2 linked regions of the Arabidopsis thaliana genome follow. The protein of the gene in region 1 interacts with the protein of each later gene in a pairwise test. Each region holds a gene or a part of one and is shown in the gene's direction. Other genes may lie near its edges.

What was found.
Region 2: the proteins of AT2G05230 (region 1) and AT4G15700 interact in a two-hybrid assay, tested with the Arabidopsis thaliana proteins (one large-scale study listed by BioGRID).

Annotation. Positions count from the first base shown.
Region 1 is NC_003071.7:1,896,166-1,906,328, reverse strand, and holds AT2G05230 (DNAJ heat shock N-terminal domain-containing protein), read left to right. Parts: upstream 1-3,503; 5' UTR 3,504-3,844; intron 3,845-4,291; 5' UTR 4,292-4,390; coding exon 4,391-6,511; 3' UTR 6,512-6,861; downstream 6,862-10,163.
Region 2 is NC_003075.7:8,933,598-8,940,056, forward strand, and holds AT4G15700 (Thioredoxin superfamily protein), read left to right. Parts: upstream 1-3,760; 5' UTR 3,761-3,947; coding exon 3,948-4,256; 3' UTR 4,257-4,527; downstream 4,528-6,459. Other genes in the region: AT4G15690 (Thioredoxin superfamily protein), read left to right, coding at 847-1,155.

The DNA of each region.
Region 1 (10,163 bases):
TAATAGTTCATGTTTAATCTCTTACATCTTCGTCTTTAAAGTTATTTTTCTCCGTACGGGTCTAATACTAGTAGTCAATGATTCCGAGTTACTATCCAAAATTTGGCAAAAGAAATTTGTTGAGGCAATGTGATGACAATGGCTATGATGTCTGCTTTAGTTTCTAAAATATGTGAAAGTTGCAATTAGGTCTGGGCGTTCGGATATTCAGGTCGGGTTTGGGTCGGGTATTTTGGATTTGGGTATTTCGGATTTAGAAATCTAAGATCCGTTTGGGTATTTTAAGACTTCGGGTTCGGATTCGGGTTTATCCGCAGTATCCAAAACTCAAAACTTTTATATCAAAATATGTTAAAATTACTTGAAACTACACAAAAATTTATAAAAAAACTTGATTATTTTCTATCTGAATTTATCTAAAAGTAGGTAAAATACCTAAAAATATACAAAATAACTTAAAATCCAAATATTTTAGGCATTTAAGTTGTTGTATATATGATTATTATTGATAAATTATTTGTATATATATATATATATATATATATATATATTTCGGATATATTCGGGTACTTGATGGGGTTCAGGTACGGATCGGGTTTTCGGGTTTTGAAGTTTAAGATCCATTCGGGTATTTTAAAATTTCGGGTTCGGATTCGAATCGGATTTTTTGGGTCGGGTTTGGTTTGATTTTTCAGGTTCGGGTATTTTGCCCAGGCCTAGTTGCAATTGAGAATTCAAGTTCTAGATTAGTTTGAGGTTTTGTGATTGTTAAATACAGGACATGATGTGGAGTATAGACTATTGTGGGATCATAACTTTTTTTGAGGAATGTCTCATGTTGTGTGCTTGTCATCTCTCTTTTATTAGGTGTTTTTTTTTTTTTTTTCCCCTTCTCTTTAGCTCTGAATCTCAGGCTTTCCTGTGATAAATGGCAATTTGAAATTGTTTTGTATGCCCTTATATGCCCAGGTTATACGTTTCGACCTCTGGCTTCGCAAACAATTGATGTCTCTATTATACCATAGACTCATTACGCTTGTGGATGTTTCAGATTATAAACTTGTTGGGTTTGGTTTCCTTGTTTTAACATATATAACTGGATGTTTTGCCTATACTATTTATACTGTTGGAAATGTAAGTGAGTTCCTTTAGCAAAGAACAACATACAATTATTAGACTAATTAGACTTGACATGTTTCGTAAAAGCGTTTCTTTGCTTTTTTTTGTCGGCAAGCGCGTAGCATTTTATGCTGTGTTTGGGTTGTTTTGAAAAAGAAAAGAATTTTGTTCAAAAAAAGAAAAAATAAAGAATTTTAAAAACAATTCCAAACTTATTTAACGAAAAAGCTTTCAAACTATTTTATTAGATAAAAAAATTTTCAATTTTATATTGAACTTACTATTTTATCTCCGTTGTTAGTCAATAATTTTAACTCGTTATTATTGCTTTAAAAGGAAAATAAAATGACTTAATCAACATAAAATTGGAAATTTATTTTATCTAATGGAATAGTTAAAGTTTTTTTAGTCAAAAAGAAGTAAATTATATATTTTTATGACATTTTCTTATTAAAATTATATGAGAGATGTTAGGTGTAAATGGTTTGATGTTTATGGCATAATGAAATAAAATGTTATAGAAGCAAGTTTAACGACTACTCTAACAACTTTTGATTTAGTCCATGGACTTATGTTTTTCAAAAATTTAAAACTATTGTGTTTATGGTGTTTATGGTGTTTCGACCATTGCATTCAAATCAAGTGAGAGTAAACAAATTGTTTCTCTGTTTCCAGATATGAAAGACACTGACATGAGCAATGAAATCAATGTTATAGAAGCAAGTTTAACGACTACTCTAGCAACCTTTGATTTACTTCATGGATTTATGTTTCTCAAAAGTTTGAAACTATTGTGTTTCATTATCGATGTTTTAGGTTGATATCGGGTCTTTCTAGTGTCTCGACCATTGCATTCACGTCATAAGTAATAGATTATAGTTCGAAATGCTAATTTGACTGGCCAAAAATCTAGAGAACTGAAATTATTATGAATATTATGGTAAAGAGTGTAGGGTTAAAAAATTTTGATCCAAGAAATATGTACAAAGAGTAAAGACAAGCGAAAACACTTTCGGCTAAACAAAACAATACTATACAATTCTTTCTACTCGAGACATTTTTTTCTGATCTGTTCTTAAATTTTGGAGAAGAAGAAATGAGGTTTAAAAAGACATCTTAACTGCGTTCCCAAAGTAAGATGTTTGGACTAGCAGTTAGTTTTGGAATAGGCACAGCCACAAAGCGTGCCACTAGATCCCTAACAACTTACATTTACATTGGCAAAAAACCCAACTATGCAATTGTTACATACTTTCCAACATCCAATCACACGATAGTGACATAAAAAAAGTATCAGTTTATAATTATTTAGAACTGTGAACAAAATGAGAAATGTATAATTATTAGAAAATAGAAAAAAACAAATATTAATAATTTTTTTAATAAGTGTGAAAATTCTTAAATGAATCTTCATGAGTCATAACCTCATAGGTTAACTGGATGGTGTTTACAAATATTATTATTTTGTTAACAATTATTAAAGTTGAATTTTTCTATAACTTTATGAAACTATTATTTTAACCCATATTCATATATTACACTATTAACAAATTATTATTATGATACTAGATAAAGCCCGCCTAAATAGGCGGGTGTAAAATGTAACTGTAATTTTTTATCTATAATATTTAAATTTTGAATAATAAAATAATAATCTATACATTGTTCTTGATATATAATTTTGAATAGTAAAATAGTAGTCTTATGCATTTTATTTTATTATACCCATTCAATCTTATTGATGATATTTGAAGTCTAAATAGTAACCTACACACTTTTTTTATATTATAATTTAGTATTTAGAAGAAAAGAATAAATTTTTATCTTACATATTCAATTTTGTAATACAATTTAACTATCTATTTCATAAAAAACTCGATTTTAATTCTACACACTTCATCTTACTTGATAATGATTTCATGTCAAAATAATATATATATGAGATCAAATCTATATCTTAGTTAATATTAAAAATTATTAACAATTAACAAAACATAATTAATAATAATAAAAAATTTGTTAATACCATACATATTAAAATTTTGACCAATAACATATATAAATATTTTTGGTTAATTTTCCTTTTGGTTAAGAAAAATAAAATGTAATATATTTTACATATATATAAATATATGAATTAGTATATGTTAATAATGATTTATTTTTTAGTTTTCTATTTCTTTAAGAAGAAAAAATTTAATTGATTTCTTTTTTAGTATTTCTATTTCTTTAAAAAGAAAAAAGTTAATTATTTTTTTATATGTGTCAACATCCGATCGATAGACTTGACACATGACATAATCTTATGAGTTAGTAATTTTTAAAACCATACTTTATATAATAAAATTATTATGGCATATATCAGAGTCGAGATAACCACTATTAACAAATTAGCACCGTTTACTTTCACTCCAAAATTATTTTACTTAACAAAAAAAAAAACAAATTTTTATTTTAGCTTCCATTTTTTTTTTCCCCGAAATTCTCGACGGTGTTTTCCGGCGATTCATTCTCGATGCCTGAATCGCCGATTACCTGAATTCACTGAAACCCTAAAACCCTAAAGTTACTGTAGTTATTAAAGCTGTGTTCTTGATTCCAAATCTTTGCCTAAAGATTCGTGCTTTTTGTTTACTTCCGATTTGATCTACTCAATCTCTGGAGGAAGAAGAAGTTTCAGAGATCTATTTTTGAAGCTGTGTTTGTAATTTTCCCCAATTTATCAGTAAGATCGCTAACTTCGATTCTCAGTTTATTTCATTTATTGAAATTTTAGGTTTTTGGTTTTTGTCATTGTTGTTTATTGAAGAAATTAGTAAACTTTGAGTTGGGATTTAAAGTTTAATCCTTTTGAGTTGGGTTTTGTCTTATGAAGTTGATAGCTTGAATCTGACTTTTTGGTGAAATTTGTTCAAAATGGAGATAAAATTAAGCTACTTTTTGACTATCTAAATCTAGTTTTGTATAATTCTCTATGTCTTTGTGATATAAAGTTAGCGATTTTGTCAAAAAAAAATCTGAACTTGGAGATTCTAGATCTCGAATCTTAGGATGGTTGTTGTAAGTTAGTAAGTATGGGTTTGTTTGAGTATGTGTGGTTGGTTAGGTATTGGTTTGCATTTGTAGTGACTCAAAAAGAATTAATGTTGTTCTTGTGAATGTTTGTTTGCAGATAATGATGATCTTTTGGTGCTTGAATATGGAATGCTTGCGGGAACGGTGTTAGTTTCCTTTTGTAGAGCTGTCATATATTGTGTTGGTTTCTTTCTACATGGAAGCTTACAGAGAGGAAGCTCTCAGAGTGAAACAGATCGCTGAGAGGAGATTTGCGGAGAAAGATTTCACAAGCGCTAGGAGTTATGCGTTGAAAGCGAAGTCTTTGTTTCCTGATTTGGAAGGTTTATCTCAGATGGTTGCGACGTTTGAAGTTTATTTAGCTTCTCAGACTCGAAGCGGTGGTCAGATTGATTATTACGCGGTACTTGGACTGAAACCGTCTGCGGGGAAAAGAGAAGTGAAGAAACAGTATAAGAAGATGGCTGTATTGCTTCATCCTGATAAGAACAAATGCATTGGAGCTGATGGTGCATTTCATCTCATATCTGAAGCTTGGAGTTTCTTGTCTAATGAGTTTAATAAAAGCACTTTTTATTACAAAAGAAAGAAGCATATTGACTCCACTGAGGTTCAGAAGCATAGCACAGAGTACATGCCTGGGACTGGGACTGGGACGGGGACTGCAGTATTTGATCGGTTTCCACCATCTTCAGAAAGGCTTGATACTTTCTGGACTGTATGCACCTCTTGCAAAGTTCAGTATGAGTATCTGAGGAAGTATGTGAATAAGAGGCTTTCATGTAAGAACTGTCGTGGAGCATTTATTGCTGTAGAAACTGGTCCAGCTCCTGTTAGTGCACCATTTCATTACACGCCTCCATCCCATGCGCCTCCCTCTCATGCGCCTCCATCTCATGCGCCTCCGAGTAATGGCTATGGTGCACATGGTTATGATGCTATGTCACGCATGCCCACCAATTCCACGTATTTCTTAGGCCACTATCCTGGGCAAGGACATGGATATGATTATAGTACGAATGGTTCATATGAATGGAGCTCGTACTCTGGAACAACAACCTCCCCAGGGAATCTGGATTTGAAGCGTGTGTCCTCAGTGTCTAATGGGTATCCTTATAAGCACAGCAACTCAGTAGTCAGCGGGGGAATAAATAAAGTCAAAGATGGTTCTAATGGGACATGCTCGAAGAAAAGCACACCAGGTGGTCTGATATATCCTAATCAGATCAGCATGTCTGCTCACGCGAGTGCAAATAAGGTCGGCAGACCTGGGAAGAAAAGCAAAGTTTTTATGGAAGCTGCTGCTAATGGATTTGTTGAGAACCCTCTGAGATCTGTTTCAGTATCAAAGACAGCGAATACAGATGCCAAAATGGATCAGGATTACAAACTTCATATCCAAAGTTCAACTAGACGTTGGTCTGCTGCATCAGTATTGGATACACGGAAGCCCTTAATTCAAAAGGCCAGAACAGATATCAAGCAAAGATTGGAGATGATGAGATTGGCTTTAGAGGCAGCAGCGGCTGCAGAGGATGCAACACCCCTTGATGAAAAAACTGTTCTCTCCTGTAAGTTGGGAGATGTTACAGGGCGCAAAACTAACGGGCCAATAACAGTTCCAGACTCTGATTTCCATGACTTTGATAAAAACAGATCGGAGGAATCCTTTGAGCCAAGGCAAATATGGGCAATTTATGATGAAGATGATGGTATGCCACGCCTATATTGTGTGGTGAGGGAAGTACTCTCAGTTCAACCCTTTAAGATTGACATTGCCTACTTAAGCTCTAAAACCGACATCGAGTTTGGGTCAATGAAATGGGTACAATATGGGTTTACAAAGTCGTGTGGACATTTCAGGATACGAAACTCTGACATAGTAGACCATGTTAACATCTTTTCGCATCTTTTAAAAGGCAAGAAGACAGGGAGAGGTGGTTGTGTTCGAATCTTCCCCACAGCTGGGGAGATTTGGGCCGTCTACAAGAACTGGTCACTGAACTGGGACGGATCAACACCGGACGAAGTGAGGCACCAATATGAAATGGTCGAGATTCTTGATGAGTATACTGAACAGTATGGTGTGTGCGTTACCCCTCTTGTTAAATTAGAGGGCTACAAAACCGTGTATCACAGGAGCACAAGGGAGGACAGTAAGAAGTGGATACCAAGGTGTGAAATGTTGCGGTTTTCACATCAAGTGCCGTCTTGGTTTCTTAAAGATGCAACCAGCGGCTTTCCCGAAAACTGTTGGGACTTAGATCCAGCTGCAATCCCCGAGGAGCTGCTTCACATCGGAGCAGGAACCAATTGATTTCAGTGACCCTGTAAGAGAAAGATGGTTTCACTTTTCAGATTGAGACCAAGTGTAAGAGTTGTTGTATCAGCGAAGATTGTGGAGTTTTATGAAGGACTATTAACACGCAAAAACCATACTGTTTGGTTCAGTGAAGCTGTTGTATTAGGCAAATGTTCAACGAGTAAGCAAAGCATAGTTTGACTTTTGTTTACTCTGTTTCTTCTTTTCTTTTTCTTTTTCGATTATGTATTCGTTTCTTTGTTGACCTTAGTGATGACAGAATTTTTACAAGTAGAGTTATAAATGTAGCAATTATCTTTCCATTTCTTGCTGCCTTTTATTTAGTAATTGAATTTACAAGTTAGTGAAACCATTAACTAAAATGTTAATAAAATTAATTTTTATTCAAAATTATAAAATTAAAATTATATTATTAAAAAAATAATAGTTAATTGAGATGGTAAGGGTAAATTTGGAATTTTATTTTTGTTATGAGATCGTGAGTATTAAAATAGCAATAATTAATTGTTTGTGTATTAAATTGCACGGTTTTATTACTTCGTGTATTTACCTTCCAACAAAAAACAATTGGGTCTTAAACGTCCAAATAAAATTTAGTTGAGGTTTTTTTTTGGTTTTTTCCCTTTTATTTAGTAATTGAATTTTCAAGTTAGTGAAACATTCCACGGGTCGAAACCATTTTAAAACTTTGAACAAGGTATAGTTGTTCCACAATGAAAATGTGTATATTACCTGCTGCTTCTACTAACTCTTTAGTCCAAGGTCTAGAGGAAGATATTTTTGTGTTCAGTCTTTGGATTTGGTTAATATCATGAAGTTGTTCTTTTGGTTACAAGGTCTTCATGAACTAAACAACACAACTACCATACTTAAGTAAGCCACATCCAACATTCTTAACATGAGTTTCTTTTGGTTAATTGTTTCTCTGAGTTTAATCAATTTATACTTTCATGGTCTTGGTTTGCTTGTTGATTCTGTTGTTTTTGGTCTTCTGCTTGATGGTTAGATCTATTTGTATCGTGATTATGTGTTTGTAAGGAAGATCACTTTGGGGAAGTTTTCTTAAACTCTTGAGTGCGATAATCTTTGAGTTACTATCCAAAATTTGGCAAAACAAATTTGTTGAGGCAATGTGATGACAATGGCTATGATATCTGCTTTAGTTTCTAAAATATGTGAAAGTTGCAATTAGGTTTGGGCGTTCAGATATTCGGGTCGGGTTTTTCGGATTTAGAAATCTAAGACCCGTTCGGGTATTTTAAGACTTCGGGTTCGGATCGGGTTTTTTGGGTTCGGATTCGGGTTTATCAGGAGTATCCAAAACTCAAAACTTTTATATCAAAATAGGTTAAAATTACTTGAAACTATTCAAAAATTTATAAAAACTTGATTATTTTCTATCCGAATTTATCTAAAAGTAGGTAAAATACCTAAAAATATACAAAATAACTTAAAATCCAAATATTTTAGGCATTTAAGTTGTTGTAGACTTGTAGATATGATTATTATTGATAAATTATTTGTTATATATATATTTTGGATATGTTCGGGTACTTGATCGGGTTCAGGTTCGGATCTGGTTTTTGGGTTTTGAAGTTTAGGATCCATTCGGGTATTTTAAAATTTTGGGTTCGGATTCGAATCGGATTTTTTGGGTCGGGTTTGGTTTGATTCTTCAGGTTCGGGTATTTTGCCCAGGCCTAGTTGCAATTGAGAATTCAAGTTCTAGATTAGTTTGAGGTTTTGTGATTGTTAAATACAGGACATGATGTGGAGTATAGACTATTGTGGGATCATAACTTTTTTTGAGGAATGTCTCATGTTGTGTGCTTGTCATCTCTCTTTTATTAGGTGGTTTTTTTTTTTTTTTCCCCTTCTCTTTAGCTCTGAATCTCAGGCTTTCCTGTGATAAATGACAATTTGAAATTGTTTTGTATGCCCTTATATGCCCAGGTTATACGTTTCGACCTCTGGCTTTGCAAACAATTGATGTCTCTATTATACCATCGACTCATTACGCTTGTGTGGATGTTTCAGATTATAAACTTGTTGGGTTTGGTTTCCTTGTTTTAACATATATAACTGGATGTTTTGCCTATACTATTTATACTGTTGGAAATGTAAGTGAGTTCCTTTAGCAAAGAACAAGATACACTTATTAATGTACTATACAAGAAGTAAATTAGATACTTGATTCAGTGACTACTCTCTTCAGAAATTTTGTTTACTCTAGAATGTTTAGTTCTAGATACTTGATTCAATACTACTTCCTTCGGATATGTCTCGATAATGTTTTTAATGGCTTTAATTTCATAAAATATTTTCTCTCTTTATATGTCATTGCTAAATAACAGAATTAAAACAATAAATATATGATGTTCTAATCTTTCATCAATTTATAGCATCATCTATTGAGAAGTGGACAAAAACTGAATCAAAACCCTGATCGCAAATAATTGTCAATCGATCAGTGATATGGTGTTGTGAAGAAGCTGGGTTCAGATTGAATCGGAATGTGATTGACAAAAAAAAAAAAACTGAATCCAAATTTGTTTTTTTTCTCAACGTTGGTAACAGTAAAAACTGTTAATAGTGTTTGGGCTGGAAAAAATTAAGTGGGCTTCGGTTTTAGATTTGGGCTTCAATAACAGTATGCTTTAAACAAAAGAGGTAAATGTAATGGGCTTTGTTAATTACCAAGTTTCTAACAAAATTATTAATGTTACAAACATATATTGTTTTTAGAAATTTGTGACAAACACATTTACTAATTTCAATTTCAATTTTATGATACATCATTAGAATTTCATAATTGTTATTTTAATTACCTGCTGTCCAAATTAATATACATTCTTGAGATATCCACATTGCATTGCATAAATAAAATAAATACAAGTACTAAATCTAAATATCATTATGAAAATAAAGTGTCACATACTTATACCCACCACAGAAGATATAGTTTTTATATAAGAAAAAAAAACATCAACAACCATTCAAAATCATATGCTTACAGAAATATACATATTATATCGCCTAATTCCATAAATCCGTAGAATAACCAATGTTATCGTTACCTTAAATACGTGTTCTTTAATTATACACACAACCGAATATATAATTGAGCAGTAGGAAAAAAATACAATAACCATACTGAACATAAACTATATTGTCAAAACACAAAACATCAACATTAAAAAAAAAAATTATCCAGCAGTATACCGTGGATCATATCCTAGTATTGAATACATGAGTACAACTACAGAAAATAACTTTTATTTTGTTCCTATATATTAATTAAATTAAGCAAACGTTTTGTTAATTATGCTCAAACGTTTTGACATTCATTTATTAATTATATGTAATCAGATTAATCAAATATGATTAAGTTTTTAATAACTCTTTTGCATTTTATTTTGTTCATTGATAAAATAGTAAAACATTAAGTTTCAAAATTAAACCCTATACCTTAAACTTTCTTAAAACATATTTATTTATTTATCATTTAATAAAATAAATCGAAAACAAATAATCAAAAATTGAACCATATACCCTAAAAATCATATAGGCCTGGATTTCCGGTTAAACCCGAGTAAAGCAAACCGGAAGAACCGAATCATTGCGAATTGAAGTAGCAGAGAAGTAA
Region 2 (6,459 bases), on another chromosome or scaffold:
TTTAATAAGAACTTTTGTAAGAGATATATACATCTTGTTTTTGCTTAGAAAAAGTTCTACTAAAAAGATGGTAATTCAATAACAAAGGTTATAATAGGTTATGACTCAAAAAAAAAAAAAAAAGGTTATGACTCGAATACTTTACATTCAAAAGTTAGAAGTAACTTTGAAATAACTAAGCATAGGCTCGAGTTACCACAAAATTTGGGAAAAATAACTATGCATATATAGGCTTGTCGAGTGCTGGGATGATCCTTTTTTTTTTTTTGGCTGGGATGATCCATAATCATTAAACAAAGTAAATATTGCATTGCTCATCATCCTCTTCCTTTATTATTTTTGTTTCAGAGATTTAGATTGAAGTTAAAGCCATAATGCTCCAGCAAGCTTATAGTATGCTCATCTAAGATTTATTAGTTACCCAATTAATTGAGAGTTACATTTTTTTTTAATTCTTTAGCTGCAAGATGCAAAGAGGCAAGAAGGATGAACCCTCCTTATTAGGCTCTAATTCTTTGAGATATTCCCACTATCTAAATTTTAATTTTGTGTGTATTTTTTATTTATTATTCGAGATATTTATTATGTCCTAAAGTTGATTCTCTTTGAAAAAGGCTACATTAGATTTAGACCCGTAATATGAAAGTTACGTACTTTAAAAAGCTATATATAAAGGACCCTTGGAGACCCTTCACTACATCAAACACAAACTCAAAATTATCTCTTATCTTCACCCAAAGATTATAAGCTCTCTACACTTTTTTGTAGTATAGTCTCTTATTTCAGTCAAAAGACACACATTTGCATCCTCCGTGAATCACTTTCTTCAGAAAATTTACAAAAACAATGGAGAACCTACAGAAGATGATCTCTGAGAAGTCGGTAGTAATTTTTAGCAAGAACTCATGCTGCATGTCTCATACAATTAAGACTCTCTTCTTAGACTTTGGCGTGAACCCGACTATCTATGAGCTCGACGAGATCAACATAGGAAGGGAGATAGAGCAAGCATTGGCTCAGCTCGGATGCAGCCCGACCGTTCCGGTGGTGTTCATTGGAGGGCAGCTTGTTGGTGGAGCCAATCAAGTCATGAGTCTCCATCTCAACCGCTCCCTTGTTCCTATGCTTAAACGTGCTGGAGCATTATGGCTTTAACTTCAAAATAAATGTAATTTCAAATATATAATGCAATTAAGTTACTATAATTAAAGTGAACAAAGAAAACATACACAAGAATGTATGTATGAGTTAATGCTATGTCTATCTAAGTTTTAAAAAGATAGATTATCCGGTTGCCTATTTTGTAAACACTGGTTCTATTATAATAAATTCAGCTACTCTTGGATTTCTCCTTTCCAATGTGCCCTCTATTTATATATTTCATGCATGCATAGATCTAAGATCACATGCGTCGACGTTATTGAAAATGTACGCATTTGCAAATAACTTTATTTCATGGTGTAAAGAGAAAGAACATATCTTATCATTATTTATTTTTCTTGTTTCCATTATTAATCGTGTTATTGTAAATAAAGCTTCTGTCTAATTTAATCGCAATTATTCAGATCGTTCTTATGGTGTTTAATCGATTCCTTCGTACAAATATATATTCAGAGACAACTTACTACTAAACATAATAGTTCGAATAACCAGATGTTTAACCTGTTAATTGATGGTTCGTTGAAAATCATATATATCAATTATAGAAAATAATACTATCTAATAAGAGATTTCCAGCATATACATATTTAAGTTTAGCTAAAGGCAGAAATATAAATACTTTCTTATATATGGTTTTATTGTTTTAATAGGTAATAGAATGTAAAGCCTTAATTATGGGAATTGGTTCATACGAGTAATTTCACATAATGGACTTAGAAAGATATCTAACTTTTTATAAAGAAAAATTCTTACACTAATAAGGGTTTGTTACAAGAAAAAAAAAGTTTATCTTAGGATTTAAATGTTAGGATCTGATGTTATTTACTTATTTAACTAGTTACAAGTAAAACTTTTGCTGCGGGCCTGCGGCTTTCGTAAATTAGTGATATGATCATATGAATGAAGCAGATCTGTGTCATCTGTCTATCTTTTTTTTTTTTAAACAATCTATCTTTAATTAAAGAAAATTTTGAATAGATGTAAACTAAATATTAAATTCTTCTCTATCCATTTAAGAAAGTTGTGGGCGTTATTGTTCAACATCATGGTAGAAAATGACGCTACTAACCATTAAAACAACAAAGTGTGTAAAGAATTGGATTCTACCATAAGAGGAACACGTTGCATTGTTACATATATTCCATGCTCTAGGACGGTACGGGCAAGTTGCAGAATAAGATGTGATTTGGCATATTACATAATGTATGTGTCGGTACATGAATCACGTACACTGAAAATGATGATAACCTTGTATTGTGATGTAACAATAAGTGACTCTTGAGATCGAAATGGGCCACCATTAATACTATTTTGAAGAGAAAAACAAAAAAAAAACTAATATTTTACATTTTTTGTATATTTTTGGTTTTAGGATATATATATACGTGGTTGCTTCACTATCATACTATCATATCCATCTTGTTGGGCACGAGCTTGAATTTCTAGCAATCTTATTCATCGAATAGGGAATAAAGTTCAATTTTGTTTTATTCTTTGACATTGCAAGATTCGATTTCATGCATGACGGTAAGGCTAAAACGGAACCACAAAGTTTGCCTTTTTCTCTCAAGTGGTTATAAAAAAACAATTCTTGAGATATTATCTCATACTCTCTCGAGTTTTCTCAAACACTGAAGCTTGCAACTCTTTTTGGCGTATCTAAAACTATGTCCAAGGCGTATCTAAAACTATGTCCAAGCTATCCAATGATTTTTACCCGATTTTCAGCAGAACACATACACTATGAAATACTATAAAGTATGATTGAAAGCATATTAGATATCGAAATATTTTTCCATATATCATGTACACATAACCGTTACAAAAAATAATTGCTATATTATTAATAATTTCTTATTAGACTCAAAAATACTGTAAGAAATATTTCAATTAATTTTGAATACTATATTAGTATAGTACACGAAATCCGATAATTTCAATTAACGACGACTTCACGATAACATGAAATCTTTTCGTATATAGGCGTCAAGACATTTATATGTCGATAATGTGTTGGATATTTTTGACGCATTCCTGACGACATATTTAGATTGAAAGTAACATTCTCAAAACCAAAAATTATTATCACAAGCCTAAATGAGCCAAAATGAAATCCGGAGTAAACACTATTAGCAATTTTCAACTTTATTTGAAACTAAAAACATATTTCGGAATTTTGAAATTTTATAAGTCAAACGAGTTTAGCAGAGATAAAACTCATTTCTGCTTTTTATCAGTGGTTTTCACAATGAAGGCCGTACTAATGAAACATGACATTATTCGTCCGTATCAATTATTCCTCATATATATCAAAGAGAGATTTTGTTTTCTGTACGTTTTACCAAATTAGTTGATAGTTTTATTCTTTAGCTGCAAGAGGGAAAAAGACTCAAAGAGTCAAGACGTGTGAACCGATAATATCCTCAGATTCTTTCGGAATACTTCGACTATCTTAATTTTCATCATTTAAAATTGTGTTCTTTTATTTCTTTACTTACAATTTGAGATATTTCATATTTGTGCTAAAGTTGATTCTCGTAGAAAAAGGCAACGTAATAAGAAAGGTTACGTACTTTAGAAAGCTATATATAAAGGACCTTACCCACTTCACTCCATCAAACACAAAAACACAGAGTCACTTCTCATTTTCACCCAAATATATCAATAATCTCTCTATAAGTTATCTAGTTTTCCCATATTCATCTCTAATCTAGCATTTTGACCAAACACACCTATTTTTCTCCTTTGCAAGACAGTTTTCAAATATCTATCACGTTATATTACTAATGGAGAATCTACAAAAGATGATCTCCGAGAAGTCGGTAGTGATCTTTAGCAAGAACTCTTGCTGCATGTCTCACACAATCAAGACTCTCTTCTTAGACCTTGGCGTGAACCCGACGATCTATGAACTCGATGAGATTAGCAGAGGAAAGGAGATAGAGCATGCATTGGCTCAGCTCGGGTGCAGCCCGACAGTGCCAGTGGTGTTCATAGGAGGGCAGCTTGTTGGTGGAGCCAATCAAGTCATGAGTCTCCATCTCAACCGCTCCCTTGTTCCAATGCTTAAGCGCGCTGGAGCTTTATGGCTTTGACTTCAAAATAAATGGAATTGCAAATGACTTAGGTTCTGAGAAACTTATTAATGTGAACAAAAAAAGGTAAAAAAAACATATACAAAAATGTATGTATGAGTTTATTACTATATATGTCTATCTATCTAAGTTTTCAAAAGATAGATTATGCGGTTACCTATTTTGTAAACATGCATCTAAGAGATATTTATATTTTATAATAAAAATCAGCAACATTTGGATTTCTCCTTTTTCCCAATTCATATTTATATAATTTTGTATACATATATGCATCTAGAAATGAATACACGTGCACTGAATATAGATGATTTTTTATGGTGTAAAGGAAAAAAGAAAGAATATATAACTATTTATGCAGAACATGCGCCAAGACATAATAATTAATTTAAAAATTTGAAGAAGGCATATTTTATAGGCTAAGAATATTGTATTTGTATCTGCCACAAATTAAAAAGCGATGACGAGTCTGAATCGTGTGTAATGTCAAGCCTTAACTTTTCAAACGAAATTCTTACAATGATATGCAACTGTTAATAAATGTTAGGCGTGATTGTCAACTGAATTAGCTAGTTACAACTTACAAGTGTAAAAATACAGGAGATTGCGTAAATTTGAGATATGGATCTTAGAACAACTCTATAATCAATTAAAGAAATTTAGAATTAAGGTAAATCAATCATTAAATTCTTCACTGTCTATCTACAGAAACATTGTTGAACATCATGATAAAAAATGACGTTTCTAACCATTAAAATAACAAAGTGTGTAAGGAATTGGATTCTGCCATATAAGGAAAATCTTTGCATTGTTACATATATTCCAATAATAGGACAGTACGAGCCAGTTGCGGAACTTGATGCGAATAGGCATCTTACATACATATAATGTGTCGGTACGTGAATCACGTAATGTTCAAATGATGATAACCTTGTATTGTGATATAAGAATAACGGCTCTTGAGATCAAAATTGGGCCACCAATAATCTTTTAGGAAGGAAGGAATGCAAAACTATGGCTTTAAAATTTTGTTGAGCCCCACGTGGCTGCTTCACTAATCAATCTTCTTGGCCACAAGCTTGAGATTTCAGAATTTCGTGGAATTGAGGATAAAGCTCTCTTTGATTCTTGATTCTTAACATTGTAAGATTCGATTTCATTCATGACGATAAGGCTAGAACGGAACCACATAGTTTTCCTTTCCCTCTCAAGTGGTCATACAAGAATATTATAATTCTTGAGATGCATTATATCTTGCGATTTCGAGTTTTCGCAAATTAAAGAATGAGAGGAGCTAGAAACTTTTTATGGCATATCTAAAACTATGTCAAAGGGACATGACATACATATGAAATTCTATTTCTTTATAGTATATACATATGAAATAAAAAGTTTTCATGATATTACGTATCCCATTTATGAGATATGGAAGTTAATCAAGAATTGGTTACTTCTCATCTCAGGTTTTCTTGTTAAGTCTTTTCTTTTTGTTCTCGATTCCTTGTCTTATCTCATGTAACCTTAATCCTTCACTCAAGTTATAAGGTGACTTAGATGACCAAAGACATGTGATTTACATAACTGAATTGTCTTTTGTTAATGTTCTATAGTAACTAGTTTTATTACAAATAGCACATTGTTTGTCAACACATGGAATTTACCACCCCGAGTCTTTAGAACAATATGGAAACTGCAAATTCATGCGGTTCTTATTGTGGGCTTCGACGATGTGGACAAATTCAAAAACTATTATTGTTTGCTCGATCATTCATGTAAACCAGGTGACAAGCTGACCTAATTCTATCATTTTTAGTTATATGGCTAACATATATAAACTTGGACTTTTTAGGACATGAGTTGGGAGATGTAGAATCCTGGTATTTACTTTAACTCAGTATTTATGATGATGGTTTTTCTAATTTCAGTTTGAGTTAAATTTTTATTTCGGTTGATGCGGCTTCAAGACACGGAGAAGTCTATGAGAGACAAGACATATCTTCAATTTTCTTTAATTTAATAAAGTGTTATTTTATTATTTTGTTTTGAAGTGGTTTAGGATCAGTTTAGATCGTAAACCGATTAAATTAATTAATTTATGTGTATTTTGAGGTCTTGATTCGGGGGTATCTAACTTTAGGACATAGTATTATTGACTTTATTATGTGGGCATTATGTGATACTTCTATCATGTGAAAATAGATCGTGT